4 linked regions of the Diceros bicornis minor genome follow. The protein of the gene in region 2 purifies or fractionates together with the protein of the main gene of each other region. This does not show direct contact. Links are inferred from orthologs where the notes say so. Each region holds a gene or a part of one and is shown on either strand. Other genes may lie near its edges. The genes, in order: EEF1A1, GAPDH, PGK1 and SIAH1.

Region 1 (8,253 bases), on a different chromosome or scaffold from region 2:
ACGACACAGGTTTGTCATTAAACTTTGTTTTAATGGGTCTCAAAATTCTGTGACAGATTTTTGGTCAAGTTGTTTCCATTAAAAAGTACTGATTTTAAAAACTAATAACTTAAAACTGCCACACAAAAAAACCAAATGGTCCACAACACATTCTCCTTTCCTTCTGAAGGTTTTACGATGCATCATTATCATTAACCAGTCTTTTACTATTAAACTTAAATGGCCAATTGAGACAAACAGTTCTGAGACCGTTCCACCACTGATTAAGACTGGGGTGGCAGGTATTGGGGATAATATTCATTTAGCCTTCTGAGCCTTCTGGGCAGACTTGGTGACCTTGCCAGCTCCAGCTGCCTTCTTGTCCACTGCTTTGATGACACCCACAGCAACTGTCTGTCTCATGTCACGAACAGCAAAACGGCCTATTAAAACAAATTTTACATTACTATTAGAAACTCTTGGTAAGACAAAGGCAATTATTTTCCATCTTTAGTAAAACTTCCTAAGTGCACTGGTCAGTCAGTCATCCTTACCCAGAGGAGGATAGTCAGAGAAGCTCTCAACACACATGGGCTTGCCAGGAACCATATCAACGATGGCAGCATCACCAGATTTCAAGAATTTTGGGCCATCTTCCAGCTTCTTTCCAGAACGACGATCAATCTTCTCCTTCAGCTCAGCAAACTTGCAAGCAATGTGAGCTGTATGACAATCCAGCACAGGTGCATAGCCAGCACTGATTTGGCCTGGATGGTTCAGGATAATGACCTTGGAGAAAAGATTTGCATTTCAGTGTGTCTCAAAGAGAGTTAAAGTTCTGGCAAGAGATGAGAATGTGTCACTTTAAAGTGTTACCTGAGCTGTGAAGCCAGCTGCTTCCATTGGTGGATCATTTTTGCTGTCACCAGCCACATTGCCACGACGAACATCTTTGACAGACACGTTCTTAACATTGAAGCCCACATTGTCCCCAGGAAGAGCTTCACTCAATGCTTCATGATGCATTTCAACAGACTTCACTTCAGTTGTAACATTGACTGGAGCAAAGGTGACCACCATGCCAGGCTTGAGAACACCAGTCTCCACTCGGCCCACAGGAACAGTACCAATACCTAAAATGTTTACAACACAGTATCATAAACACACCACATACCAAGTAGCAACCCATGCAAATTACACTGACAGTAACGTTTCAACTTACCACCAATTTTGTAGACGTCCTGGAGGGGCAGACGCAAGGGCTTGTCAGTTGGACGAGTTGGTGGCAGGATGCAATCCAGAGCTTCAAGCAGTGTGGTTCCACTGGCATTACCATCTTTACGGGTGACTTTCCATCCCTTGAACCAAGGCATCTGCAACACAACGTCAATTAGTGTTACCATGAAACTTGCCCCTTTCAGAGTTTTTCAACTGCTTTGAAAGCCACTTACGTTAGCACTTGGCTCGAGCATGTTGTCACCATTCCAACCAGAAATTGGCACAAATGCAACTGTGTCGGGGTTGTAGCCAATTTTCTTAATGTAGGTGCTGACTTCCTTAACAATTTCCTCATATCTCTTCTGGCTGTAGGGTGGCTCAGTGGAATCCATTTTGTTAACACCAACGATTAGTTGTTTCACACCCAGTGTGTAAGCCAGAAGGGCATGCTCACGGGTCTGCCCGTTCTTGGAGATACCTGCTTCAAATTCACCAACACCAGCAGCAACAATCAGGACAGCACAGTCAGCCTTTTAAAGAAAACAAGGCCATACCTTGTTAAAGCTCTTCAAAAGGAAGACAACACCATGTTTTCAATGTATAAGACAAACCAAGAGTTACTGCCGATAGTTATTAAAACTACAAACCTGAGATGTGCCTGTAATCATGTTTTTGATAAAGTCTCTGTGTCCCGGGGCATCAATGATGGTCACATAATACTTGCTGGTCTCAAACTTCCACAGGGAGATATCAATGGTGATACCACGCTCACGTTCAGCTTTCAGTTTATCCAAGACCCAGGCATACTTGAAGGAGCCCTTTCCCATCTGTTAGGGTTGGATTAAAAATGGTTACTTGCTAACTAAGACACGATCAAATGCCAGCTTGAAATTCCTTACCGCACTTATCTAGCTAGAAATGCTCGATTCCTCTTCACAATGGCTAAATCTAAGTGGCTTTCCCTTATTCTCAAAACATGGTTACAAAACTGACTCAACAGCAAACATTAGGTTATACCGTTTTTATCCAGTGTGACGTAAATATCTAGGCTAGTGACAATAATTTTTCAAAATCTTCATTTAACGTCTTCAGCAGTAGACTTCTCATTCACCTGTTAGTGATACCTACCTCCGCAGCCTCCTTCTCGAATTTTTCGATGGTTCTTTTGTCGATCCCACCACATTTGTAGATCAGATGGCCAGTAGTAGTCGACTTGCCCGAGTCCACGTGTCCAATGACCACGATGTTGATATGAGTCTTTTCCTTTCCCATTGTGGCTTAGATTCAGCGGTGGTTTTCACGACACCTAAATTGAAAGAAAAAATAAACTTTAAGTCACCGTCCCAAAGGCTTGAAAAAAGCTACGATCCAAACTCAAAAGGGCAAACTCCAAGTTGCATTACAGCAGCGCCCCACTGGCCCCGCTCTCGCCTCCAGCCCCGGCGGAGCCGACCACGCCGCCCCTCCCCCCGGCCGAGGACCGCGGGGGCGGCGGCCGGGAGCCGGGGCACGGCGCCGGCCCTTTGTGTGGTGACTCACGCCCGCCGGGCCCGCGTCCTCCATTTTGAGCGCCGCCAGGGCCTGAGCGGCCATCTTTCCGCGCACGCAACTGGTGCCGCGCAGCCGGCGCGCCCCGCCGCACCCGGGCTCCCTCCGCCCCCGCCCGCGCCCGCACGAGCGGCCCCGCCCTCCGCGCCTCGCGGCGGCCCGCGCCCGGCAACCCGACGACGCGGACGAGCCCACACGGCGGGATCCGGCCCGGCCTCGGCCACTCCACCCGCGGGGGACACCGTGGTGTCTTCTCAACTTCAAGCGGCCGGGGACCTCACCCGAGGGCAGCAGGGGCCCCGCACGCGGCGGGCGCTGCGCCCGAGCCAGGCCTCAACCCCAGCACGAGGCGCAGGGCCTTCCGGAAAAGCCCAGGCCGCGAACCGCACCACGTCCAGCCCCAAGTTCGAGGTCAGGAGCCGCGTGAGGGGGCTCCGCGGAACGGCGGCCGAGAGGCACGCGAGGCCGGGGCCCGCCGCGCAGGCCCGGCCCGGAGGCCACACTCGCGCTCACCTGTGTTCTGGCGGCAAACCCGTTGCGAAAAAGAACGTTCAGGCTGACCACGGCGCTTATATACGGTCTTCCCCCCCTCGGAAAAGGGGGCGGGGCCAGCACACGACGCGCTTTCCCAGCTCTCCCCGCGCCGCCGCCCAGTGCACTCGCAGCCCCTCCCCCACTCTCGGGGACCGTGCGCCATGTGCGCTCAACCCGCTGAAGAGCACACCTCGCTTCGCGCATGCTCCTCTCGACCCCGATGACGACGAGAGCCACCGGGAGGACCGGGACGCACGCGCCCTCAGTTCTAGGTTAGTGGGAGTTTAACGACGGTCCCTGGGATTCCCCCAGGCAGAGGCGAGTCCTCTTTTTGTATGAGTTACTCTCAGCACCAGCGCGGGGTGCGGCGGCGAGAAGGCGGCTGGCGGGCACGTCCATAATCTTCCTGTACCATTCCTGGTTTAACTGCAAAGATGGTATCGATATTGGGGTGTCCCTTCATCCCGCAATACACCTACCGTCCTCAGTCCTGCCCTCTCGAGGGTCCGGAACAAGCCCCTCCAGCCGCTTCCTCCGCCCTCCGTGCCCCGCCCGACCTGAGGGGAGTGCAAGGCCCGAGACCCGGGGGCTCCCTGCCCGGTCCGAGAGCCGCCCGCGGTTCAGCTTGGAGGCTGTGAGCCCGACGGATGTGCTCCCGGGCTGGCCTCTTGGCTGGTTCCGTTCAGAGCCAGCTGCTTTTATCGAAGGCCGCATCACATGTTCGCCCGGTGTGGTCTCCACATGCCCAGTGTTTCAGTTCAGAACAGAGTTCATGCCTACAGTTTGCTTTACTTCTAACTCTAGTTTTGTTACAAAAGAGACCCTGAGTGTGTGTGTCTACCCTGGTGGTACATTTTTTTCCACTGTACACTCGATTGCACGCATGAAATACCCAAAAAGAATTTTTCAAATTCAGTCTTGCCACATGATCTCATGTAGAGGCTAAGAGCTACAGCCTCAGCAAGATTATCCTCCGCGTTTTCCTGTCCCCAACACTTGCTGTGAAATCACTGCTTCTCAAAAATGGCCTATCCTATTTAAATAAATGGCTTCATTTTCTGTCCTATTGATTGTAACTGAATTTTAGCATAAATCTAGGGCGAAATCTGATGAGGCCTTTTTGGTTGACAATCAGGGCAGACTGAGAAATACTCCTCTGAAGAAATAAGAACGTGTATTTTTAATGAGCTAATTACAAGAACATTATGTCTTTTCTTCCACGTATAGAACATCTCTGCAACTTCTCGAGGCAATCTATTAAATATTTGAGAAGCTACTAAGTGTCCAGTGCTAAGCGAAGCTCTGTGGCATGTGAAAAAGAAATACTTCTTTTTGGAGAGGAACCCACAATCAAATTGGAAGAGGAAAACAAACATAAAACAATTGGGAAGCAGTTAAAGACAAACTTGTATGCTGCTTACTACTTCATTGTAGAATATAGTTCTTTCAGTTCTCACAATCTAAATGCCTTTTTTTCTTTTTAAATGAAAGAAGCCTTCTAGAATAGCCTTCCTTTATCTTTTTTTTTTTAACCATTCCTTGTACATATAAACTTCTAAAAATCAGGTTTTTCCATTTCTTCATTAGGTTTCTATCCTTCTCATTTGAACTTGGAGATAGTTTTCATGAAAGAAACGAGGCCATATAAAGTTTCCCTAGAAATACATATAACTAATATTTTTCTAGCAACAAAAGCCTTTTCTATGTCTATATTTCTAATTTCTCTCTTCTCACAAATTCTTCTTTCACATTGCATTTTCCTAGTGCCCTTACCCAGTTATATACATGTAGAATAAAATTATCTTGATATGCTAGTCCATGTGTGTAATAAGATAAAGATGTAAGAAGTAACAGTGAAAATCAACTCCTAGCAATAGACCAATGCAAATACCTCTGCTCTTATTTCCTTGGAAATATTAATTACTGTTCTCTTTGGAACTAGATTCCCACATAAGCCATATTTGTATATCACAGAAATATAAACTGCACACTGTGTTATTTCAGATTAAGATCAAAGTGCCAGATTTATTATTTTTCATGCCTTCTAATAGGAATGGCAAAATTTTAAAAATGTAAAGAAATGGTTATTTAGTGACACGAGGGAAGGAAGCAAAGACTAAAGAAGACTACAAGTTGAATATTTGAAAGTTTTACATGGAATCCAGAATTGTAGTTAATATCTAAGGAAAAAAAGTCAAAATGAAAGTGGATGTTGGTAAGAGGGAAAAGTATCAAAGATAATTTCAGTTCAGTAAAATAAAAGTGAAAAAAGTGATCTCTGTGAAATATGCACAATTCATTAAAATGTGACAGTGCAAACTCAAGTACTTTTATATAATACTAAAATTGTGATAATTGGAGAGATAATGCTTTCAGGTGAATTATTCTGTTTGAAAAGATAGACCTACTATAATTTAAATAGTAATCTTTGTAGATGTGTGTGTATATTCAGCACTATGTCGGACACGGGAATTCTTTAAGAGATGACCACAAACATTTCCACAGGAGCTTATAAAAACTACAGGTCCTGATTCAGATGTCACCTTTTCATTTTCCTAGTTGCACCTTGACTGCTTTGGATGGTGAAAAAAAGAAATCCAACATTCCAAGTATAATTAAAGTAATGAAATGATCCGAAAGTGTTCCAGGAACAAATAATGGCAGCTGAATTTTCATTATTATGCCCAGAAAGAAAGGAAAATTGAAGAAGTTTGACTCCAAAGCTATCCCAGATTATAGGCAAGTTTTCCGCAAGGCCCGGTGATTGCAGGTGAGAGTATACACTTTATAAACACCTTCTAGAGAATTCTTTAACACAGCACCTAAGGAAGAGCAAAGTTATACATAGTCTTTGATTTTTGTGTAAGTAACCTACCGGGCACCACTGACTGGTGCGAGGGCCGCCGAGACTTGGGCGGGGGCGGGGGGGCGTGTCTGGAGCCATATTGTGAGTAAGGGTTGGACACGGGTCACAGCCTCTTCTCAGGGCCCGGCCCCCACTTCTGCTCTCGGCCGGGGCCGGGGCCGGAACCAGGCGGCGGCGGGGGCGGCGCTGCTGTCGGGCGCCCCGCGCCGCGCCCACACCTGCGCCCCGGCCGCCGCGCCCCCGCCGCCCCCCGGAGGTCCCTCTGGGCGGTCCTCTGACTGCGGAAGGAAGCGCCGGGGAGGAGACAGAAAACCCCGCGTGGCTGGGGGGGTCGGTTTCGTCACCGCGGCGTAGCCTCTAAAACACTGAAGCAGATGTTATTTTCTTTTTAAAAAGTCCCTTTCCCCAGGCCCTATGTGTTAAACATAATCGTAGCGCATTTTGTCCGACTTGACAGCAGATACATTATGCCTTTTACTAACTTACATGTTAAAACGCAACGGTAACATTGTTGAGACTTGTAAATGTGTTTTGGGGTCATAATCTAAGGTCATATTTTGCTTAAGATTTTCCTTAAAGTTGCTCATACTATTTAGAGTAGCAAACTCTAAAAAAGGATTTTAGTTATTAACTTAGTAAAAGGGCGAACAGTAATAGTTCTTTGATGTTTCTAATTGTGATTCACCAAGCATCTTTCGGTATTGGCTAATCACTCTGCTATTGGGCTTACTTTAAAGCAGCTTTAGGTAATTACGTTTTGCTGTGGCTTGCCACCTTCCTGTTGCCTGTGCCAATTGAAAATGATCATTTAAAAGGTATTTTTTTTCTTTTTTTGTGTTTGAGGAAGATCAGCCCTGAGCTAACATCCGATGCCAATCCTCCTCTTTTTTTGCTGAGGAAGATTGGCCGTGAGCTAACATCTGTGCCTATCTTCCTCTACTTTATATGGGACGCTGCCACAGCATGGCATGACAAGCGGTGCATAGGTGCGCGCCCAGGATCCGAACCTGCGAACCCCGGGCCACTGAAGCAGAGTGCTCGCACTTAACCGCTTGCACCACTGGGCCAGCCCCGTAAAGGGTATTTTAAAATATAATTAAGCCAAGGAATTATTTGGACTGAGAATCCAAGCATAATGTTACTTCGCTGTGCCAAGCACTGTTCTAATATTTGCAATATTTAATGTAATCCCACTGTTTACTGATGGAGAACCTGTAGGCAACTGATAATTTATGCGTAATAAGCAAATACAGACATACGTTCTTTTTTAAAGTTTCACTTTTTTGCACAAAATGGTAAAGTACTACATATCACTTTGCTTTTTTCATTTAATATATCTTGGAGATCTTTTCTTTTGAGTACGTTAAAGCCCAGCCGGGCAGCATTGGAACCCAGGTAATCTGACAGGAAAGTTAGTCTTAACTTGTACCAGCGGGTCTAGGCAGCCTGCTCGAGTGAAAATGGCGGTGGGGTTGGAGTCAGAAAGTTGGGACTCAGTGCTTGCTCTTCTGCTTCCAGGTCTGTGACAGCCAGCAGGGCATCTGTGGCATGGGTCTGCTCCTTACTCACACTTAGCACCTGCCTCACAGTTCTAATGTGCAATGATGTGAAAAGATATGGGGACACTCAATTATCTAGTTTTGTTTTTTTAAATTAATTAATTTATTTTCTTTTCTTTTTTTTGGTGAGGAAGATTGGCCCTGAGCTAGCATCCATGCCCATCTTCCTCTATTTGATATGTGGGACGCCGTCACAACATGGCAGATGAGTGGCGTAGGTCTGTGCCCGGCATCTGAAACCAAGAACCCGGGCCACTGAAGCAGAGCATGCCAAACTTAACCACTACACCACTGAGCTGGCCCCTCAGTTATCTAGTTAAAACCGAATTTCTACAGGCTTTCTGAAGAACGCCTGGCCTCAATTGGTATGCCCTGTGACACTAACTTGACTCAGTAGAGAAAATATACTCATTGGTATCTTTTTATTTATAAAAATTTTGAAATAAGCAATACATGTACATAGTAAAAAATTGTACAGAGGTGATACAGTGAAATGTTACTCTCTTTTAGCAGTTTAGAGGAAGCCTGAAGAATATGCCAGGAAGATTA
Region 2 (7,424 bases):
ACCAGTCTTTCTGTCTCCAATTCCTGCTTCTTTGTTTCTTTATCTCTTTTTCTAATAGACTTTATTTTTTAGAGCAGCTTTAGGTTCAAAACAAAATTGAGTGGGAAGTATAGAGCTCCCTCATATGTCCCCTGCCCCCACACATGCACAGCCTCCCCCATTGTCAACTTCCCCCACCAGAGTGGCACATTTGTTACAATCGATGAGCCTACATTGGCACGTCATTAGCACCCAAAGTCCATAGTTTACACTGGAGTTCACTCCTGGTGTTGTATGTTCTGTGGATTTAGACAAACGTGTAATGACCTGTGTCCACCATATAGTATCAGACAGAATAGTTTCACTGCCCTAAAAATCCTCTGTACTCCCCCTGTTCATCCTTCCCTCCCCCAGCCCCTGGCAACCACTGATCTTCTTACTGTTGCAACGGTTTTGCCTTTTCCCAGAATGTCGTATAGTTGGAATCATACAGCATGTGCCCTTCTCGGATTGGGTTCTTTCACTTAGTAATGTATATTTAAGGTTCCTCCTTGTCTTTTCATGGCCTTGTTTCTTTTTAATCATAGAAATAACTATATTTCCAGGCCTGCTCTTACTCTCTTTTTCCCTCTAGGCTATACTAGATGAATTTGAGCAGAAGCTTCGGGCCTGTCACACCAGAGGGCTGGATGCAATAGAGGAACTTGAGAGTGGCCAGGGAGGTAGCCAGCGAGCCCCATCAGCCAGGAAACAATCCGCTGGTACGTGAGGCAGCCCCACGGGAGAGAGACCAGACCAGGCCCACTTCTTAGAGAGGCTCCTTTTTTTCTCTCTGTGGACTTATGCGTCTGCCTTTTCTAGCCTCTAGGCACCAGCATCTGGCTCCTGCAGCCTGGGACAATGACTTTGTCACACCTGAGCCCCGCCGTACTACCCGTCGGCATCCAAACACCCGGCAGCCAGTTTCAAAAAAGAAATCCAGAATTGTCTTCTCGAGTGATGAGTCCAGCGAGGAAGGTACAGTGCTCCCTCCTGGCCCAGCCCAGGAGGAACATAGCTTGGGGGGGGCTGGTTTGGTGGGGTCCTGCTGTGTAGAGTCTCCACCCGCTCGCTTGAGGGCGTTTTCCTCCCTGTGCAGGCGCAGTTCAGGTTTTATTTCTGCAGTGTGGGCTGGGGCTGTCCCATTTGTTCTCTGAGATCTCTTTTCACCATCTTTGTGACTCAGCTTTTTCTAATTCCTCCAATTCTTTGAATAGAGCTTTCAGCAGAGATGACAGAAGACGAGACACCCAAGAAAACAACCCCCATCCGCAGAGCATGGACTCGCAGGCACAGGTCCTAGGGGTCCTCTAGCCTGTTCCCATCCCTGCTGTGCAGGGAATCTTGTGGGTGACCTTGAATTCCATTCTCCTTGTAAAATACTGGTTTGCCTGTCTCCTTGTTTTTTTAATGCATAAGTGGTCTTTATAATGTGAGCCGTTTCTCTTACACTTGCCTGACTGAACCGAGTTGAGCTGCTTTCATGGGAATATATGTTTGCCAGTCTGCTTGTTTTCTAATGAATAAATGTTTTTATATACTTTTAGACATTTTTCCTAAGCGTTTCTTTGTTTCATCTTTCACATTAGCCCAGATGCAGGTGGCAGAGAGAGGGTTATCAGTCCAGGAAGAGAAGAGCCAAGGAGTCCTGGGGCCCCTCTCAAGATCTGATATGCTTCGTGCCCCTCAGTGCCTCATCCTTCCCTTCTCGACCTCGGCCCTCTGCATAAGTGACAGGACTGCTCCACTCTGGAGAATTATGCAGTGTCTAGACTCCAGATCAGCGCTCTCAAGTTGGGGGGTATTTTGCCCTCCAGGGGACATTTGGCAATGTCTAGAGACTTTTTGTTGTCATAACCTAGGGGGAAGGGATGCTACCAGCATCTAGTGGGTAGAAGCCAGGGATGTTGCTAAATATCCTGCAATGCACGGGACAGACCCCGCAACAAAGAATTATTCAGCCCAAAATGGCCATCAATAGTGCTGAGGTTGAGAAACCCTGCTCTAGACCAAGGGCTGGCATCCTCTGTGTGTCCGTCCCCGGCCACACTTGTGCTCCCTAATCCCACCTCTGAGGACCTGGCCAGGCTAATGGAAGGTCAGGGCATGATCCCCTCCAGCTCTAGACAATGTCTCTGGAGACTGTGTCTCCCAGGGACTCCTCCCCATGTTCCAGGGTCTGCAGGAAGTCGGGCCCCCCCAGGTGCAGGCACTGCTCTGTGCTGCCACCTGAAGCTGTCCACCCCCTCCACCTCCCCACGTCTTCTCTGCTGAGTCACCTGGAGCAGGAGGCAGGGAGCCTGCTGTCATGACAACACTGGTGTCTTTGCTGTCATGACAACAGCAGACTGCGTCAGTAGTGCTCCTGGGCACTGAGCTCCCTCTTTTTGGCAGAGAACAATAATCAAAAATGACAAGCATGAGGCGAAGGGGAAGACAGTACCTCAGACACTTGCTTTGGGTGGTGCAGGAACATGGAGGGGCTCCTAAGGCCCTTGTCAGGAAAGGGTTAATGGTCCTGGTGGAGCCTGAGCAGGAATGGAACAGGAGCAGCTGAGTCCACTTCAGCAGACTCTGCAGTGTGGCGCTTCCCATCTCCTCTCACCGTTAGGTGCCCTCTGGCCCCGTTCTTGCTGTTCATGAAAAGCCTGGGCACCAATCATGCAGATGGCTGCCAGGCACAGGCACAGGCACAGCCGTGGCTCTGGGGCCCCAAGGAGGGAGGGCAATCCCAGAAAGGGAAAGGACTGGGGCTGGAGTCTGGGTGTGCGACAGCGTCCTCTCTGCCTCTTAAGCAAAGGTTATCACCAGGCGGGCTAAACTTAGCCTGTCAGTTAGAAAAGGGGGCTGGTCTCAGGTTACGCTGGGCCAGCAAAGAGGCCCCAGGATCCCTGTCCCCCAGCACCTGCTGATAGGCAACGTCCATTCCATCCCACCCCCTTCTAAACCCTCACTCCTTTCACGTGCTCAGAAGCAGTCCTTTCTCCAACCTCAGCTCACAAACTTGGCACAGCCAGGCATCCTGACCCCTCGCGGAGGGGAATGGATCCTCTCCTCTACCTCACGTGTGGGAAGGGGCTGGGGACCTGTTCCCACCATGTACCCAAGACCTCCCATTTTTTCCCTACTCTGGACTCCTCACCCTGCCCCCAACAGCCCCGGGCGGGCGCAGCCAGTGAAGGGGAGTCCCTGGCTCCAGGGCTGGGCCGCACGTCCCAGAGTGGGGAGGGACTTCCGCCCTCACGTCCCGCTCTCTGCCTTGGGCTGGAGGGGTGAAAGGGGCATTGTCTCCAAGCCTGGGCGGCGCGGCACGCGGGTTTCCCAGGAGACACTTTGTGGGAGGCACCACCCAGCCCCCAAGAGTGATCCGTCCTCCCGCTGGGGCCCTGGCCTGGGGGAGAGCATCTGGTGCACACAGGGCCTGGTTTGTCTGCCCCAATTATCAGGTCTCCAGGCTGCCCGAGCTGCAGGACAGCGTGACCTTCAGCGCAGAAACCCTCCCCCCCGCAAACATCTTCCTGAGCCTCCTTCCTCTCCAGGCCCCACTGCCCAGTGCCCAGCCCAGGCCCCCGGCCCAGAGAGGCCTGGAGCCAGGAGATGGGGAGGAGGAAGTGGGGGCTGGGAAGGGCCCCGCAGAAGGCGGATTGGCCCCTCCCCGGCCTTCTACTTGGCTGTTCCTATGTCACTACCGAAGAGCCTCGAGGAGAAGTGCCTCAGCCTTGGAAAGAAGGGGGAGGGGGTGGCAGTGTGCAGCCGCCAACGTGACCCGGGCTCCGGCTCCAATTCCTCATCCCACCAGCTCCCAAAATCTTCCCGTTTCATCCGTGCAGCAACTTTAACTTCCCTGGCTCCTGGATATCCTCAGTTCTCACCAGGACCACTGTCCTCGAGTCCACAGTCTCCTCATGCCACAGTCCCGTCCTAGGCACCATCACCGATCACCTCCCCCATTGGGCCAGTCTCAGTCCCCTCCCCCTCTCTGTCCCTAGCCCACACGCGTGGTGCGGGCACATCTGAAGAGCCGGCGGGTTCAAAAAAAAAAAAAAAAGGCAGGCCCGGCTACTCGCGGTTTTACGGGCGCACGTAGCTCAGGCCTCTGCGCCCCAGTGCCGGCACTTGGGGGCCGGCAGGAGGCGGGGCCGCGTCGCCACGCCCCGGCCCCCCTCCCTCGCCTCTATAAATTGGGACAGCAGTGTGCGACTGTGCTCTCTGTTCCTGCCCGGTCCACGGATAGCCGTGTTTCTTGCGCAGTGCTAGGTAAAAACAGGCAAAGCGGGGCCACCAAGGGCTCAGGAACTGTTCCGAAAGGGGCGCGGGGCTTGCGCAGGCCAGGAGCTCGGCTGCGCGGTGCGGGGTCGGGGTGTGCGCGGCCGGGCCTCCGCATTGCAGGGGCCGGACGTGCGGAAACGCGGGTTGGGAATGGACGCATGGGGGAGGGGAGCGGCGGGGAGGGCGACGGCCGGACTCCAGCGCTTCCCGCCCCCGCGTGCTAATGCTCGCCTTCCTCTTCCCGCAGCCGCGTCCCCGGGACACGATGGTGAAGGTCGGAGTAAACGGGTGAGTTCGGGAATGGGCTGGGTGTGGGGCATTGAGTTCTGCGGCCCCCAGCAGTTTGCCCTACCCGGATCTCTGCGAGCGGGTGGGGAAGGTGGGTGGGATGGTCGAGCGACCCCACCGAGGAGAACTCAAGGTCAGCGCTCAGACCTGGCAGAGGCTCCCGCCTCAAAGGGCCTCGTGTCTCCCGCCCCCAGCTGTTGCGCTTGCTGTAACTCCACTCCTGCAGGGACAGCTTGCCCGGAGTCTTCCACTCCACCGACCATGGGCAGACGAGTCCCCAGTTCTTGCTTTGGACCCATCCCCTTAATCTCCTAGCTGGGGCTTCTTTTTTCCTTTCGCGCCCTGCGAGGTCATGTGCTGGAGAGGAGCCTCTCCCCCCACCAGCCTCCTTCCCCTCACCTAGCCAGGCCCAGGCCCAGCAGGGGGATGCAGAAGGCACAGCGTGGGAGGGTTCATTTGCGGTAACCCAGCCGCCATGTTGCAACTGGGAAGGAAATGAATGAACCACCGTTAGGAAACCTGCCTTAGCTCTTCAGTCTTCCTCCTCCTCCCTTGCCTGTGACTAACCCTCCAACTCCTGCCTCTATGGGGTGGAGTCGCCTTTATCCGGTAAAGTAGGTGAGGCAAGGCTTTCCTCGCTCTTGCTTTCAAAAGAGCTGGACCTCAGAACTGGGACCATATTAACCCTGGACCATCCCTTAAACAACCAGCTGAATTTGCCCTCAGGGATAATGCTTTTCTTAGATGATTCTCTGATGGATCAAAAACGGGGATTTATGGGGATCCTCTTGCATGTTTTTTTGGGGGGGGGAGCTGTGGCAGCGGTGGCTTAGTGCCATGTTGGGGGAGCTGAGTCATGGGGAGTTAGAAATTTTCCACCACAAAATGGCTCCTGCAGCAGCAGCCCCTTTCTTCATCGGCCTCTCCCTGAAGCGCCTTTCTTTCATCCATGCCTAGAGCTGACCCAACCCCAAAGGCCAGGCCGTAAAGGTCACTGGGAGGATTAGGTGTCTGTGAGCCTTGGGAATCCTGCCCTTCTCCCTATTCCATCTTCCAGAAACCAGATCCCCACTCCACCCTAATCTGAGGTTAAATATAGCTGCCTGACCTTTCTGCAGCTGGGGGCCTGACCAGTCTGCTCTCTTCCACCTCCTTCTCTCCCACACACATCTGTTGCTACTGCTCCTGATTTTTGGAAAAGAGCTAGGAAGGACGGGTAGTTTAGCAAATTAGAGCCCAGGGATTAGGGGCTTGAGAAACCATGTTTTCCCTGTCTCCTTCCCTTTTGTGGGAGGGACTTGGAAGATGGGTGGGCTTTCCTCATCCAGTTAACTTGCGACCTTTACTCTTGCCCTTTGAGCTTGGTGATGCTGAGTGCACAGTCTTGCTCCTGAGAGGGTGTAGCCTGAAGTTGGGCCAGACAGGAACAAGCCTTCCCAGGGCAGATAGCTGGGGTGATGAATGCCATGTGCCAGGCATGTGCCCCAACTTTGGATGGCAGCAGCGTACCCTGCACTGCTGTTTCTCCTTGAAGGACTTCAGATGGCTAGGGGGTGGGCAAGTCTGTGAGCCTGATCACCTCTTGGAAAGGATAGGAGCCTTCACTTTATGACTAAGCTGTGCCTGGAGGAAGATAAAATTAGACCTCTTGGAGCTCTCTGGTGGTGGGATGGCCATCTTCCCTCTGAAAGAGGATGAGTTGGCCTAGGGCTGCTTACATACATGATAGGGTAGAAGTCTGTACTTCCTCCTCCTCATGCCTTCTCACCTTTTGTCTCCCTCAGATTTGGCCGTATTGGGCGCCTGGTCACCAGGGCTGCTTTTAACTCTGGCAAAGTGGATATTGTCGCCATCAATGACCCCTTCATTGACCTCAACTACATGGTGAGTGCCGCCCATGCAGCTGGTATGGGGAGCAGAGCCTGGCTGAAGCACAGTCCTTTGATGCCTTCATTTGTTCCTCCAGGTCTACATGTTCCAGTATGATTCCACCCATGGCAAGTTTCATGGCACAGTCAAGGCTGAGCACGGGAAGCTTGTCATCAATGGAAAGGCCATCACCATCTTCCAGGAGTAAGTATGGAAGACGAAACAGGAAGAAGAAATCTGCCTTTGGGGAGGTACTAGAATGGGGTGACCACCTTGGGTACGTGGTACCTCATGTCCCTGAGCTTTGTCTTGTCGTCCTTTGTAGGCGAGATCCCGCCAACATCAAATGGGGTGATGCTGGTGCTGAATACGTTGTGGAGTCCACTGGTGTCTTCACTACAATGGAGAAGGCTGGGGTGAGTGGCAGGGAGGCTAAAGAGGGGGGAGTTGACCCTGAGATTTGGTGTAGCAGAAAGGGGGCAGGGGGCTGGCTTCAACCTGGAAAGATAGAACCTGGGTTTGTAATGCCTCCTCTACTGCAGGCTCACTTGAAGGGTGGAGCCAAAAGGGTCATCATCTCTGCCCCTTCTGCTGATGCCCCCATGTTTGTGATGGGTGTGAACCATGAGAAGTATGACAATTCCCTCAAGATTGTCAGGTGAGCATGGCGGAGGGGAGTTGAGAGGGGAATGAAGGAGTGGTCAGATAGTACTACATGTTACAAGATGGAATGCTCTTTCTCTCTTTTCAGCAATGCTTCCTGCACCACCAATTGCTTGGCTCCTCTGGCCAAGGTCATCCATGACCACTTTGGCATCGTTGAGGGACTCATGGTATGAGTGGAGAAAGTGACCAGAGCACATTCATTTCTCACCCAGAATTGGATCCTTCTGTTTCCTTAGAACATAGTCTAGGGCTGTGGGACACAGGGGGTTCCAAGGGATTGGCTCGGGTCACTCTAACCCTTAATTCTTCCTAAG
Region 3 (7,696 bases), on a different chromosome or scaffold from region 2:
AGGAAGAAGTGAAACTGTCACTATTTGCAGGTGACATGATTTTATATATAGAAATCCCTAAAGAATCCACCAGAAAACTTTTAGAAGTAATAAATGAATATGGTAAAGTTGCAGGATACAAAATCAACATACAAAAATCAGTTGCATTTCTGTACACTAACAATGAAGTAGCAGAAAGAGAAATTAAGAATACAATCCCATTTACAATTGCAACAAAAAGAATAAAATACCTAGGAATAAACTTAACCAAAGAGGTGAAAGATCGGTATGCTGAAAACTATAAAACAGTGCTGAAAGAAATTGAAGAAGACACAAAGAAATGGAAAGATATTCCATGCTCTTGGATTGGAAGAATTAACATAGTTAAGATGTCCATACTTCCTAAAGCCATCTATAGATTCAATGCAATCCCTATCAAAGTTCCAACAACATTTTTCACAGAAATAGAACAAAGAATCCTAAAATTTATATGGAACAACAAAAGACCCCGAATAGCTAAAGGAATCCTGAGAAAAAAGAACAAAGCTGGAGGTATCACACTCCCTGATTTCAAAATATACTAGAAAGCTATAGTAATGAAAACAGCATTGTACTGGCACAAAAACAGACACACAGCTCAATGGAATAGAATCGAAAGCCCAGAAATAAACCCACACATCTATGGACAGCTAATCTTTGAGAAAGGAGCCAAGAACATACAATGGAGAAAAGAAAGTCTCTTCAACAAATGGTGTTTGGAAAACTGGACAGCCATATGCAAAAAAATGAAAGTAGACCCTTACCTTCCTTACACCATACACAAAAATTAACTCCAAATGGATTAAAGACTTGAATGTAAGAACCGAAACCATGAAACTTCCAGAAGAAAACATAGGCAGTACGCTCTTTGAAATTGGTCTTAGCAACATATTTTCAAGCACCATGTCTGACCGGGCAAGAGAAACAATAGAAAAAATAAACAAATGGGACTACCTCAAACTAAAAAGCCTCTGCACAGCAAAGGAAACCATCAACAAAACGACAAGACAACCTAACAATTGGGAGAAGATATTTGTTTTTTTTTTTTTTTTAAAGATTTTATTTATTTATTTTTTCCCCCCAAAGCCCCAGTAGGTAGTTGTATGTCATAGCTGCACATCCTTCCAGTTGCTGTATGTGGGACCCGGCCCCAGCATAGCCGGAGAAGCGGTGCGCGCCCGGGATCCGAACCCGGGCTGCCAGCAGCGGAGCACGTGCACTTAACCGCTAAGCCACGGGGCCGGCCCTGGGAGAAGATATTTGCAAACCATACATTGGATAAGGGATTAATCTCCAAAATATACAAAGAACTGATGCATCTCAACAACAAAAAAACTACCAACCCAGTTAAAAAATGGGAAAAAGACCTCAACAGACATTTCTCCAAAGAAGATATACAGATGGCCAACAGACACATGAAAAGATGTTCAACATCATTAACTATCAGGGAAATGCAAATCAAAACTACAATGAGATATCACCTCACACCCGTCAGAATGGCTATAATTAACAAGACAGGAAACAACATGTGTTGGAGAGGATGTGGAGAGAAGGGAACTCTCATACACTGCTGGTGGGAGTGCAAACTGGTGCAGCCACTATGGAAAACAGTATGGAGATTCCTCAAAAAATCAAGGATAGAACTACCTTATGATCCAGCTATTCCACTGCTGGGTATTTATCCAAAGAACTTGACAACACCAATGCGTACAGATACATGCACCCCTGTGTTCATTGCAGCGTTATTCACAATAGCCAAGACTTGGAAGCAACCTAAGTGCCCATCAAGGGAGGAATGGATAAAGAAGATGTGGTATATATACACAATGGAATACTACTCAGTCATAAGAAACGATGAAATCCAGCCATTTGTGACAACTTGGTTGGACATTGAGGGTATTACGCAAAGTGAAATAAGTCAGAGGGAGAAGGTCAAATACCGTATGATTTCCTTCATTAAGTAGTAGATAATAACAACAATAAACAAACACATAGAGACAGAGATTGGATGGTTGGTTACCAGAGGGGAAGGGGGGAGGGAGGAGGGCGAAAGGGATAAATCGTCACATGTGTGTGGTGAAGGGTTGTAATTAGTATTTGGGTGGTGAACATGATGTAATCTATGCAGAAATAGAAGTATAATGATGTAAACCTGAAATTTATACAATGTTATAAACCAATGTTACTGCAATAAACAAAAAATTAAGAAAAAAAACAACTAAATGCAACGTGTGATCCTGGATTGCATCTGGGACCAAGATATTTGCTATAAAAGACATTATTAACACAAATTTGGAAAATTTGAATAAGGTCTATTAGACAACCGTATTGTATTGAAGTCAACCATGATTCATCCCGTGGGGCTGTGACATAAGCCTACCCTCCCTGTCACTGGCCCAATAATCAAACTGGGCTTCTGTTAGCAAGAAAGGATATGGCTGGGGAAAGGCTGTTGGGTAGGCAAAAATGACTGCAACAAAAGGCTTCTCATTGCTTTTAGGATGAATATCACATCTTTATCATGGTTATAAGGCCCAAAGGATCTGGTCCCTGCTTACCTTGCCTCTTCAGTATAATTTTAGACCTCTCTTCCTCCCACTCTATTTTCCAGCAACATTGGACTTTTTGTGTTGTCTAAGGCTCTTTCCCATCTTAGGATCTTTGCATCTCTGATACTGCTTCAGATGTGTAGAGGATAAAACTTCCTGATCTTTATGAGCTTTAATGTTCTCATCTATAAAATAGAGATAATAATAGTACCTACTTCACAAAGCTATTGTGAGGAGTAAATGAATCATGTATGTTCAGCCTGTAGCACAGTGTCTGGCATACAGTAAGTGCTCAATAATTGGGAAGTATTGTTAAGTTCAGGCTGTCAGATTGCTTATTTTAGTTTCCCTGATGATGCCCTTGGTTGCTTTTCTATCTTATCAGAAAGGAATTGCTTCGCACTGCCACAATAATCCAGATGGAATGAAATAAGTGCTAAATATATGCAGAGCTGATCATGGATGAGGCCAGGAGGCCCATCTGGGCTTTAAATGTAGATTCATTTGGAGTAACTCCATGAAGGTTTCCCAAATGTACATTGACAGGATTGAAAGGAACTAATGTTTATCTTGTAACTTTAAACTTGTGTCTCATTATCAGACAGACACATTTGTGTCTCAATACCAGTGCACTATGAATTAATATTTCCTATATCTTACCTGGACGAGTGCCATACGTGGGAAATTTTTGTTTGTGATTCAAATTACTTCATTCCAGCCAACTCTGTAAGCATGTGGACACCAAATACCTAGTTCCTAGCAATGGTGTCTGTATTACAGTATAGTTAAGTGTATGGATTCTACATCTGGATTGCTTAGGTTTGAACCCATCACTTACAAGATCTGAAACTCTAAGCAAGTCACTAAACCTCTTTATGCATCATCTGTAAAATGAGGATGACAGTACCTACTTCCGAGTTTTGCATTCGTTAATATATGAAAAATGCTATATGTTGTAGCACTGTGTTGTAACCAGAAGAATTACACTGCACTTTTTATTATTAAAAAGGTGGGGCGTGCGGGGGGTCCTGGGCCTTTCCTGACTTCTGCGAGGTCTCCATTATTAAAGCCGCTTAGCAGCCTTGCGGAGAATTCCATTTTGGGGAGCCGGGAAACCACAGTTTTCCAAAGGGAGGTGCCATTTGCATCGATCCTGGTAGGGCTGCCGGGAATTCCGTGGGATGGAGGCTGGCGCTTTTCCCCAAGCTGTCGCGGGTTTCCGCGGCGCTGTAGCTGCTCTGGGCGCGGCGGCAGAGACCCGGGTGGCGGCGGAGACCCGGGTGGCGGCCTTGAACCTCTCACTCTCTCCACGTCCACCACCCGGCTCCCTTCCCCCCAACTTGCGGGCCCCGCGGCACCGCCTTCCGCTCCCGCCCCTAGTCACGAAGGTTCCCAGCGGCTCCCTGCGTGCCGGACGTGACAAACGGAAGCAGCACGTCCACCAACGCCCTAGCAAACGGACAGCGCCTCGGAGCAATGGCAGTGCGCCGGCGCCTTTGGGCTACGTCCAATAGCGGCTGCTGTTCGCGGCGCGTTGGGCGCGGCGGGGCGTGGCGGGGCGGGAGGCGGAGCGGCGGGGCCCGCGCGGAGTTGGGCATTCGGCACGCGTCTCTCGCGCACGTAGGCAGTTTCGTCTGCTGCTCTTTGATCCCCCGGCCTGTCGCCGCCGCTGTATTGCCAAGATGTCGCTTTCTAACAAGCTGACGCTGGACAAGCTGAATGTGAAGGGGAAGCGGGTCGTCATGAGGTAATTGTACACGTGTGCCTGCGCGCCCTCGCGGCTCTCGCGCAGTCTCTCCGGCTGGGGCCGACTTGCTTTCCCGACTGCCCCAAGTTGCTTTTAGGCCTCTACTCGGCCCCATGGGCCCTAGCCAGGCAGGGCGAGGCTGCCCACCGTTGTAGCTGAGGCTTTGCCCGGGTGTTACGGTTTCTAACCTCATTTTCCCCAGCCCAGAAATCGAGCCGTAGTTGCCCTTTAGGGGTGGATCCACTGAGAAAGGGCTCAGATTGCCGGGACCCATTTTGCCCTCTTTCCTATTCTTGAAATGCAGTTCTGTCGGCCCCAGCTCCCAGTCGGCAAGGTGGGACCTGATGCTTATCCTGCAAATCCCTAGGCCCCAAGGAAGGGACCTTGAAAGGTCATTTGGTTAGTTCCCCTTCCCCCACCGCCCTGGACCATCCCAGACAAATGAGAAACGGCCCACATTTCAAAGGTCCCTTCACAAAAGGAAATCTTCCCCAGAGCGTGGTGATTTAGATGTTCAGTAGAACCCTCTAAAGCATTGGGGGTGGGAGGGTGAGAAGGGCCTATGGTGTGGTTGGACTCCAGGCCATGGGGTTTGCATCACGATTGTGACACATGCTGGGTAATGCTAGAGCAGGGTGTGGCTGCTCATTCTTGCTGTTCTCCAACCTCACCCCACAGGTGGCTAGAGAAGCAGGATATTAGAAGTGGGGAGGGCTCTCCATGCACTTTCGGGTCTCTTACACTGCATACGTGGATCCCTGGTCACTTACAAACGTAGCTTCTCCCTTATCTGCCCAAATTACTAGTATGGTGTATGGAACTTTTACATTTATCCTTTTTGTAACATGTGGTACGTTTGTGCATGCCAGGAGCAAAGTACAGGAGGACAGTTAGGTGTGTAACTGATAGTCTTGGCTGTTCATATGCCTTGACAGGATCGAAGGGTAGTGCCGTTGGGCGGCCATAAGGGCTTGAGTTGATAGCATTGTGCAGTCTTGTCCTTTTGGGGAAGTGGTTGATGGATGGGCAGGCATCTGAATGCTGTGATCCACCCCCTTTCCCAATTTGGGCTGGTTCAAATGAGGGCATCTTTTGGATATTAACAGATACATAAGGCAGAAGGGTATCTCCCTTTATCCTAGGCTTAAACATATGAGGGCACTATGAATTAGAGAATTGTATGGGCACCCTAAAAGTTCATGTAGCTCTCCCTTTCCCTCTAATTTCATTATGGTCACTATTTGCAAGTGGCCTTGTCGGCCTGGCTATGGAAATGGAAGAACTCAGTAGCTTATGGCCATGAGAAACACCTGGTGGACAAATTAGGAATCACAGCAATCCTAGTATTAGATAAGGGCCCTTTCTACTCCTCAGGTGATCTTAAGGAAAGGGGATAGACCCTATGAAAAACAAGACAGGTGGACATTGGCATGCAACTAGATCTTAGGTTTTTTATTTATTTTTTATTTTTTTTTGTGAGGAAGATCAGCCATGAGCTAACATCCATGATAATCCTCCTCTTTTTGCTGAGGAAGACCAGCTCTGAGCTAACATCTATTGCCAATCCTCCTCCTTTTTTTTCCCCCAAAGCCCCAGTAGATAGTTTTATGTCATAGTTGCACATCCTAGTTGTTGTATGTGGGACATGGCCTCAGCATGGCTGGAGAAGCGGTGCGTCGGTGCGCGCCCGGGATCGGAGGGCGCGTGCTCAACCGCTAAGCCGCTTAACTGCTAAGCCACAGGGCCGGCCCCTAGATCTTAGGTTTTAATTATTTCCTCCCATCTCCACTGGGCTCACATCAGACCTTTCCAGATGCATGCACCAGCTGAAAGACAAGAGGTGGGGTATCATGCTCGTCAACTTCCTACAACTTCAGTCTTGGGCTTTATCTCCTCTCTCCCCAGGGAAATTGGCTTGAGGAATTAACTGGGCTGGCTGGGAGTGGGACTAGAGGAGGTGCTTATCTTTTCTCCTTCTGGACCTAATATGAAATATCTTTCTGCCCAAGGGCTCAAAGTTTCATTTAACACAGATTAACCCTGAGCCTTGAAATGATTGGCTTGTCCTGTTTTGCTGATGGAAAATGACCTGTCCAAGGTCACTGAACTAGCAGGTTGGCAGAGCTAGAACTAGAATTTGGATCTCCTTGGCTACCAGCCAGATCCTCTAAATATTCATAATGAACAAGGACAGGTTAAAATAGACCTTTTGTCTACTGAAGGTTGCAATCAATTTTCCTCATGTAATCTGGATAAATTCTGCTTATTTGGCCTGAGGACAAGAAGTTACTTTGTTCCCTGATTATTAATGTACCTTTTTCTAACCGACTACTTTTTGGAAGAGCCTGGGCAGCCATGTGGTGTCAGCTCAAATTTCTTTTTGTTTCAATGCCTTTACGTGGTGGTTGCTGGTAGTGTTTCAGAAATGGGGCCTCCTGAGTAGTGACTGCTTCACTTGCCTCCTCTCTTTTTCCTGCGTAAGAGAACTCGGTTTGCTGAGTCTTCTGGCCCCTGCTTTGAATTGCCAAGGGGAATTGACTGATTTGTTGAGGGAACATTAGATAGCCAGAAACTGACTGGATAATTACCAGGTTCCACCTCAGTTTTTTAGGACTCCAGTTGACTTTACAGCTCTTTGAGTAAACTTCCTGCTTATTTTTGCCATGTCATTTCCTTTCTTCCTCTCACAGGTTGCCAGTCATACTCATTTGCCAACTTGTGAAGCACTTCCCTTTTACTTGTTCCCCCGTGCTTTTTTAAACCTGTTTTTCTCTAATGTGTTTTAACTTGTTAAGCAACAGCCTTGATGTAGTAGAAAAAGAAATGGAGAGGAAAAACTGAGAGCAGAGAAAAAGAAAGTCTCTAAGACAGCCATAATACCTCAATTTTCCAGTCAGGGGTAGTGAAGCAAGGGTGGGCATGGTTCCTTTGAGAGCTTTTAATGGAACTGGGCCTGGACTCCTGAGATTTCAAGTGATAGAGACTTGATATTCTTAACCCAACTAAATCAATATTTTTAACATTTTGTTTGGAAATAATTATAGATTCACAGGAGGTTGCAAAGAGGTCCTGCAACGGTTGTACAGAGAGGTCCTGTGTTCACCCAGTTTCCCCCGTTGGATACATCTTACATAATTAGAGTACAATATCAAAGGGAGGAAGTTGACATTGAAATAAAGTGTATAGTTCTGTGCTGTTTTATCACGTGCATAGATTTGTGTAACTCCTACCATAATCAAGACACAAAATTATTGTTTTGTTTGATCACCAGCAAGATATCCTTCATGCTACCCCTTTCGAGTCATGGCCTCGCTCCCTCCATTCCTACCCCTTGGTAACTACTAATCTATCCTCCATTTCTAAGATTTTATCATTTCAAAAA
Region 4 (7,630 bases), on a different chromosome or scaffold from region 2:
TCTGACGGCTCATTTCTGTAATAAAAACATGAATAAAAATAAAAGGAGGCAGGAGAAAAATAATTACAACTATAACTTATTTTATAAATAATGTTTACATGCCAGAAATACTGAAGCTCCATGCAAAATTTACTGTGAGCAAAAGAATAAAGGAAAATAAATAGGTTAAAAAACATATAAATGACATAAAATATACATTTTGATTATTAGGAGTTGTACACTGGATAAAATCTCTTTTCAAAATGTTCCAGAACACATTTAGAATTCCCTTTCTTAAAAAAATGTTAAAAATTGTCCCTGGATGGACTACATGGAATAAATGCTGAAAGAGAAACTGGACCAGAAACAACTAAGCTTAAGTTCAATCAAGTCAATTTTGATTGGACTTTCTCCTCCCTGTGTTCAATTTCCCTACTCAGTCTATTTCTTTCCCATTCTGTGTCAGCTGTTGAAAGCTACAGGGCCTTGTAAGTGATCCAAAGGATCCCCAGGGAGTTGACTTTGATTAATTCCTCTTAATGGTGAACAGTTATCTGCTCTAGAGGCATATTTGGGGAATGGAGGGCATCGCAAGGGGAAGGGCCTGCTGCCATCCTCCATCTTCATCCTCTAGCTCCTTAACATTAGCTGGGTATTAATCTTGTTTCCTACTGATCAGTACCTCCCTCAAAAGAGGGACAAGAGAAATGGAGGGCCATCCTCAAAGTTTTTAGTCTGGTACTTAGAGAAAGTAAATCATTCTAGTCTACTTCCATTCCATTAATATAAATCAGATATAATTTGCAAAGGAGAAGGAAAGCAAGGAAAAGAAGGTAAATAAGGAAGACAGGGGCCAGCCCTGTGGCATAGTGGTTAAGTTCACGCACTCCACTTCAGCAGCCAGGGTTCGCAGGTTCCGATCCCAGGCCTGAATCTACACACTGCTCATCAAGCCATGCTGTGGTCGTGTCCCATATACAAAATAGAGGAAAATGGGCACGGATGATAGCTCAGCAACAATCTTCCTCAAGCAAAAAAAGAGGAAGATTGGTAACAGACGCTAGCTCAGGGCAAATCTTCCTCAAGAAGGAAAAAAAAAGAATAAATATAAAAGCACCAGACACACACTCACAACATTGGAGCTCAGGGAAAGAGTCAACAGCTAAAGAATTCCTTGTACCCTAGAGTTCACCAATGTTGCTGGAGCGTTCATCAGCACAGTAATAAACATTATTATTTAAGAGAGAAATGTCATCTGGAAGGAATGATCAACAATGTAACTAACTTGTCAGACTGAAGGAAAGATGACACAAGCACCTTTTCCCAGGAATCTACCTTTGCTGGGATACGGCAGGCCACTGTTTATCTGGGGGGTGACAAAAGAGCAGTCGATGTCCAGGAGTGTACTCCCAGTAACTATATAAGCCATATTTCCACAAAATTAAAATTTAATGCCTCAAATTTAATGTTTTCTCAATTATAATTGTTATTCTGTTTCAAAGAATTTAACTTTCAAAAAACAATGCTGGTTACCAATGTGACCATGTAAATACAATCTGAGTTCTAGATTACTCAAGGATACACACCTTAAATGGGGGTTGAGGATGCAAAGAGAAAAAAAAGATAAATTCCACTCTCTCTAAAGTTCAAAGGGAAACAAAAGTACAGCAGAATTCCACCATAATGTAGCTCATCACATGGAGCACACGAATCAGTTCCCATCATCGAAGCCCTGTACACCACAGGTGTCCTAGCCCAACAAAGAGACTATAAAGGTACTCTCTTGTAATCCAGCTTCCCCCTGAGGAGATTCTTTGTGCATATGATGATCCATCATTTTAGGTCACTTGTAAAACAATGGGTCAGCATTGCCCAAACGCCCTGTATGTATGCTGTATGTCTATTTCATGGTCCATTTTATGCTGCTCACTGAAGTGAGCAAACATAATAAATGGAAAGTGGCTCCTTGAGCACAAAACAGTCTAAGCCACCAATGCCTTTCAAATCACTAAACCAAAACAGCTAATCACATGGAGGGGCAGTAAACTCAGTTTGTAATCAAATCAACATAATGTAACTTACTAAGCAAGAAAAACACTTTAATTTCTTGACCTAGCAAAACAGTTATATGTTTATCATCAATAGTTCAGGCTCATGTTACAATGTATCTTTCTTATTTTTCCAAACATTCTAGAAAGCACAATTTAAATTCCTATTCAAAGTGTGAAAACAAGTGACATGTAGCCAATATTTCTTGTGAATGGAGGTATTACAAGAGAGCAGCTGCTAAAACCTCCCAAAGCTCCAGAGGTGGGAACCTAGCTCCATCTTCAAACAGAAAAAGAATCCCAACCACACAGCAGCCCTGCAGTAGGAACCAAGGACTCAAGTGTCTTTGGACAACCCTGCAGAAGTCATGACATAACGTGAAATTTGATTTAAACTGAGAAAAGTACAGCAGATCAAAAGAAACGTCACTGTGAGCTCAATTATGCTGCAGCTATTCCCTGATCCAGTCAGATTCCCCTGGCTTACAACAACTTTGTCCCGTTTCACAGTTTAAGCAACCAGTCTCTCTCTCTTTTTTTTTTTTTTGTGAGGAAGATCAGCCCTGTGCTAACATCTGCCAATCCTCCTCTTTGTTTGCTGAGGAAGACTGGCCCTGGGCTAACATCCGTGCCCATCTTCCTTATGGGACGCCACCACAGCATGGCCTGCCAAGCAGTGCCTCGGTGTGGGATCCGACCCGGTGAACTCCGGGCCTCGGCAGCGGAGCGCGGGCGCTGAACCCCTTGCGCCACCGGGCGGGCCCCAACCAGTCTCTTAATGTCAATACCTTTTCTCTTCCTTGTCCCAGCTGCTGGTAAACAAGTGAGCAAGATGCCCCTCCAGGAGCACAGAAAAGGTAAGGCAGACTTCCCGGACTTCCCGGTCATTGGAAATCGGGCAACTCATAGCCGCTGCCCCAGAAGCAAAGACAATCTGTAACAGAGGCCCTTCCTGGACACCTTCCTAAGCATGTCCGCTGCCAAGAAGCGACGGTCAGGGCCCTGCTCCAGACACTCCATTCACTCTGCAGAAGCACGGGCTACGGAGGCAAAGACAGAGGAGTCGACCACACCTTCCCGGGAGCTCAAATTTGCCTGCGTCTCCAAAAATGGGAGCCATCGCTGAGCTATCCTCTGCTGGGCCCTAAACCTCGGTCTGTCTTGGAAGTCTGTCGTCCCCAGATTCATCAGCTAGGCTCCGGCCAGCTCTGGTGAAGGACGCGGCTGCAGAGTGTGCGGCGGCGGGGGGAGGAGGCGCGCTCTCCGAGGCGGCTCTGGAGCTACTGCAGGGTCCGGCCCGCCAGGAGGTCCGTTTGGAGCGGGAGCTGGAGCCGGGTCGCAACTGGGAAGGCCTGCTCCAACCGGGAGCGCCAGCCGGCCTCACTGCGGCGCCCAAGGCACTGCCGCCCGCCCGGCGCGGGGCGGGGCCGGCGGGAGGGGCAGGGCTCAGGGGCCAGCAAGCTCCACCCCACCGGCCCAGCGCAGCACCCGGGCCCCACCTTGTGCGACTCCCACCCAGCGGGGCAAAACCCCTACCCCAGCGACATTGTGCACGCCTCAGCATTCCACCAGCATACATTTAGGACGAAACATGCCATTTTTGAAGGCCGAAATAGTCGGATATCGGCAATTGCGTACGGTTTCAACCCAAGAACTACAGAGAGTCTAGGAAACATGTGGCCACACAAGCGCTCTTCTCTGCACTATACCCTGCTGATAAACCGTGCGAACTCTTAACTTTTTATAGAGTAAAAGCATTCTCCCCACTTCATTCAGTAACTATTTACGGGGCGTCAACTACTGTATTTCCTCAATTCTAACTCACTTTTCCATTTCTACCCGTCGGCACCATATTTTAAACTCCCCTTCTCTCCGAAAAGACTTTGCAGTGAGAGAAGTAAACACACATAACCATATTAAACTCCTACTTTAACCTCCAAATTGAGATTATATTCTCTCTCTGGGAAAGCCATCTTAAATGGCCTCATTAAATAGAGCAGCTTGTTTTGTTTTTAAACAAGCAATACCCTTGCCCCAATCAAATCCTGGGTCTCAGATTTGCATCGCCTCAGCTAGTGCATTCAGAGGTTTAACTCGTCATGACATCATGCTTAGGGCAGCCTTTAAACGCAGCAAGAGCTGGTGTGGGGAGTGAGCCCAGTGCAGGAAACTGTAGATTACCCACTTTCAGTATCAAATTTTAACTCTAATCACATCCCCACCCTATTAATAGTTTGTTCAATCACCTTGACCTCATCTTAATATTAGGCTACACAAAGTATCATTAGGAATAGAAATATAATTGAAAACAGATACAGTCTGTCCATTGACAAATATAAACTACTATCACCTACGTTTTTATTTTCTAATACATATTCATTCTAGATGTGCCTCTGGTTTCTAGCGCAGGAGACTTCAAATGTTTTAGGCAGAGAAATTCTTTCCAAAGAGAATTAAGACAGAAGCCACATGCATAAAACAAGGGGGGATAACTGATTCCTCGAGCAAAAAAATATTTCATTTTTTCCCAGACTTTCAAAGGGTCAGCACAGAGCCTTACAGCACCGTCTGAAAATCATTAATCTATGGACAAACCTCTCAACTTACCAAAAGTGAGTCAGGACGGTAAAAGTGCGGGTGTTCTAGAGTCATCTACACTTGGATTCAAACCCAGTCTTCACCACCTCCTCAGCTTTAAAACTGGCACAATATTTCCCGCCTCCCGTGGCTTTTGTCTGGATTAAGGGAGATGGGTAATTTATGTATATCATAGGTGGTACATACTCCAAAATAAGTAAGTATTCACCTGAGACCTCTGAAAGTTTCCTGCTCTGCCTGAGGTCATCAACTACTTAGAGAGCTAGAACTTGTGGGTTCCAGATACACACTCTAAAAAATGCCTTGAGCTTGTACAAATGATCAAACATGTCTGCCAAAGATCAACTGCCATTTACCTAATTTTTAGCATAATAAACCTTAACAGAATTTCTCGACTAGATAGAAATTTACTTACACTGGTTTTACAAAGAGCTGAAAATTTCACAAAAACTACATTACATTAAGACAAGCCCATAGATCCCAAAGTTAGCAAAAACTCAAATTTTGGCAAGAGTGTACCATTATCTACACTTTCTAAAGCCTACATCTCAAGCCCAGTTTGGTATAAAGTTTAAATAGATTTTAATCTAAATCAAAACATTTTAGAATCAGCCTTTAACGTTGTCTTAGTAATTTCAGAGCATTTAACCATGCTTTGCCACATTAATATACTTAACAGTAGAAGGAGATGGACTTATAAACTTTTATTCTCAATTTCATGTGAGAACCTTTGCTTCCTTTCATAAATGACTGATGAAGAATTTCTCTGATTAATCATAACCTCATCCCTGGCTACTCTAATTAATACACAACAATGTTGTGCTTACCATTTTCTTGTAGTTTACAAATACACTACCGCAGGCAAGTCATGAGACCTCAAAGATGTCCATATCCTAATGCCTGCCACTGAACCTGTGAAAATGTTATGTTATAGCAGCAACAGGCAGCTAATACAGTTACATACAAAATAAAAGTTTAAAATGGAGGAATGTAGTCAGATATGTTAAAAGGATCACAATGTATTGTAAAGCAAATTACAAACAACATACATGGGAGGTATGGGGCAACAGGGGGAGCAAGGAATGAGAAATCAGAAAGACTGCACACCAGAAAATGACCAATGAGTGAGTTCTCTGAGTGGTAGGATATGGGTGATTTTTAGCTATATTTCCTTCAAAGAGGACAATAAAAAAGGTATAAAGATTAGTCTGATTGAGAATTGTGAAAACAATTAGTCAAAATAAGAAGATTTGCATTCTTAATTTAGTAAAAAAAACAATTAGTCAAAATAAGAAGATTTGCATTCTTAATTTAGTAAAAAATATCACTACCCTTCTTTTATTTCTCCAAAAATTATTCCTAGAAACGACATAATATTTATTGTAAAATAAAAGTACAGGTTCAGATTATGAATTTGCTCTCTGTATTAGGAATCAATGGGTTAAATAAAACTTCTCCATTCAAAATATTTCAGGGTTGGGGCTGGCACAGAGGCATAGTGGTTAAGTTCGTGTGCTCTGCTTCTGCGGCCCAGGGTTCACAGATTCGGATCCCGGGTGCAGACCTACACACTGCTCATCAAGCCATGTTGTGGTGGCGTCCCACATACAAAATAGAGGAAGATGGGCACAGATGTTAGCTTAGGGCCAATCTTCCTCACCAAAAATAAAACAAAAAAACATTTCAGGGCTGAGCCAGCCCTGATGGCCTAGCCGTTAAAGTTCCACACGCTCTTCTTCAGCAGCCTGGGTTCAGTTCCCACGGAACCACACCACTTGTCTGTCAGTAGCCATAATGTGTCGGTGGCTCACAAAGAAGACACTTAGAACTATACACAACTATGTACTGGGGCTGTGGGGGGTGGGGGAGGAAGACCGGCAACTGATAATAGCTTAGGGCAAATCTTCCCCTGCAAAAAAAAAATTTCAGGGCTTTCCTCAAGTCTTTTTTGCAAAAAAGGAACTTTCTACATTTGATATTGTGATAGATATTATGCAGAAAATGTTTGTTAAATTATGTTAAAAATCGCTTCTATTTTAAGATTTACTTCTTACACTCTGACAAAAATTAAGGCAAGTCTCCTTAAAAATTCATCAGCTTAAAAATGCCAAAAGTTAAAAATCAAATTATAAAACAATGCTAAGAAAAAAAATTATATAACCTATCTTCAGTTTCCAGAACTGCAGCAAAGTAATAAGAGAAATTTTTTTAAATTGTGCATGTTTTCCTAAAAGCTCTATTATCCTGAAGATAACTCTGAAAACTTTGTAGCTATAGAAGAGTTGTGTGTCTAGTAAGACTGACAATCTAAAGCGGGGAAAGCCCAGGACACAAGATCTGACAGAAGGCTGCTGTAAAAAAAGAAGTCTGAACAAAGGTGATGATAGAGGAAATGGAGAGGAAAACGCAAACGCTAACTCAAATGTGTAAAGCAAAGTACATTTGCTTTTTTACTGCCTAAATCACTGTATTTTGAGGATTCCGCCTCTGGTAAAAAACAGCACATACTTAGAGTCTATTAGGCACCATGCTAGATACTGCAATATGATAACAGATGAAATGCAAAGGAGGAGTAAGATGCCCACGAGATGTCTAATCAAAGAAGCAGTTGAGACACAAAAGAGTTACGACTGGAGATTAGGAGTTGTTACCGTACAGATGTTACCTGAAGTCACAGAGAAGAAGAGCTGGCCTCAAAGAAATCCCAACATTTAAAGATTTAAAAGTTCATTAAAGGAAAAGGTAGTGGCATCTAGACTGCAACAGTTCTCAAACTTTATTGTGCTTACTTATTGTCTAGAGACCTTGTTGCAATGCAGATTCTGAGTTAGAATCAGAACTGCTGTACAGCTGGGCTTGAGACTCTGCATTTTTTAACCAGCTCCCAGGTGTGACCAACGCTGCTGAGTGAGGCCCACAGGAGTAGCAAAAGCCTAAAGAACTGAGAAGGAAAGCAAGGGTGAGAGAAAACCAGGAAGGCAGCACCTCAGAAGTCAAGGGAAGAT

The links.
Region 1: the proteins of GAPDH (region 2) and EEF1A1 fractionate together in Homo sapiens (co-fractionation; 3 studies listed by BioGRID). This does not show direct contact. The link is inferred for Diceros bicornis minor from reciprocal best matches to the Homo sapiens genes GAPDH and EEF1A1.
Region 3: the proteins of GAPDH (region 2) and PGK1 fractionate together in Homo sapiens (co-fractionation; 4 studies listed by BioGRID and IntAct, with this or other methods). This does not show direct contact. The link is inferred for Diceros bicornis minor from reciprocal best matches to the Homo sapiens genes GAPDH and PGK1.
Region 4: the proteins of GAPDH (region 2) and SIAH1 purify together in Homo sapiens (affinity purification with western blotting; 4 studies listed by BioGRID). This does not show direct contact. The link is inferred for Diceros bicornis minor from reciprocal best matches to the Homo sapiens genes GAPDH and SIAH1.

The regions. Positions count from the first base shown.
Region 1 is NC_080762.1:56,998,909-57,007,161, reverse strand, and holds EEF1A1 (elongation factor 1-alpha 1), read right to left. Parts: upstream 3,329-8,253; 5' UTR 3,259-3,328; intron 2,504-3,258; 5' UTR 2,470-2,503; coding exon 2,326-2,469; intron 2,025-2,325; coding exon 1,845-2,024; intron 1,728-1,844; coding exon 1,431-1,727; intron 1,353-1,430; coding exon 1,202-1,352; intron 1,113-1,201; coding exon 856-1,112; intron 769-855; coding exon 534-768; intron 423-533; coding exon 298-422; 3' UTR 11-297; downstream 1-10. UniProt on the Homo sapiens protein: Translation elongation factor that catalyzes the GTP-dependent binding of aminoacyl-tRNA (aa-tRNA) to the A-site of ribosomes during the elongation phase of protein synthesis.
Region 2 is NC_080756.1:55,148,712-55,156,135, reverse strand, and holds the start of GAPDH (glyceraldehyde-3-phosphate dehydrogenase), read left to right. Parts: upstream 1-4,214; 5' UTR 4,215-4,275; intron 4,276-4,534; 5' UTR 4,535-4,552; coding exon 4,553-4,575; intron 4,576-6,359; coding exon 6,360-6,459; intron 6,460-6,541; coding exon 6,542-6,648; intron 6,649-6,769; coding exon 6,770-6,860; intron 6,861-6,986; coding exon 6,987-7,102; intron 7,103-7,195; coding exon 7,196-7,277; intron 7,278-7,424. Other genes in the region: NCAPD2 (condensin complex subunit 1), read left to right, coding at 614-740, 841-996, 1,236-1,321. UniProt on the Homo sapiens protein: Has both glyceraldehyde-3-phosphate dehydrogenase and nitrosylase activities, thereby playing a role in glycolysis and nuclear functions, respectively.
Region 3 is NC_080781.1:70,535,906-70,543,601, forward strand, and holds the start of PGK1 (phosphoglycerate kinase 1), read left to right. Parts: upstream 1-4,168; 5' UTR 4,169-4,249; coding exon 4,250-4,314; intron 4,315-7,696. UniProt on the Homo sapiens protein: Catalyzes one of the two ATP producing reactions in the glycolytic pathway via the reversible conversion of 1,3-diphosphoglycerate to 3-phosphoglycerate.
Region 4 is NC_080771.1:2,321,956-2,329,585, forward strand, and holds the start of SIAH1 (E3 ubiquitin-protein ligase SIAH1), read right to left. Parts: upstream 3,427-7,630; 5' UTR 2,916-3,426; coding exon 2,816-2,915; intron 16-2,815; coding exon 1-15. UniProt on the Homo sapiens protein: E3 ubiquitin-protein ligase that mediates ubiquitination and subsequent proteasomal degradation of target proteins.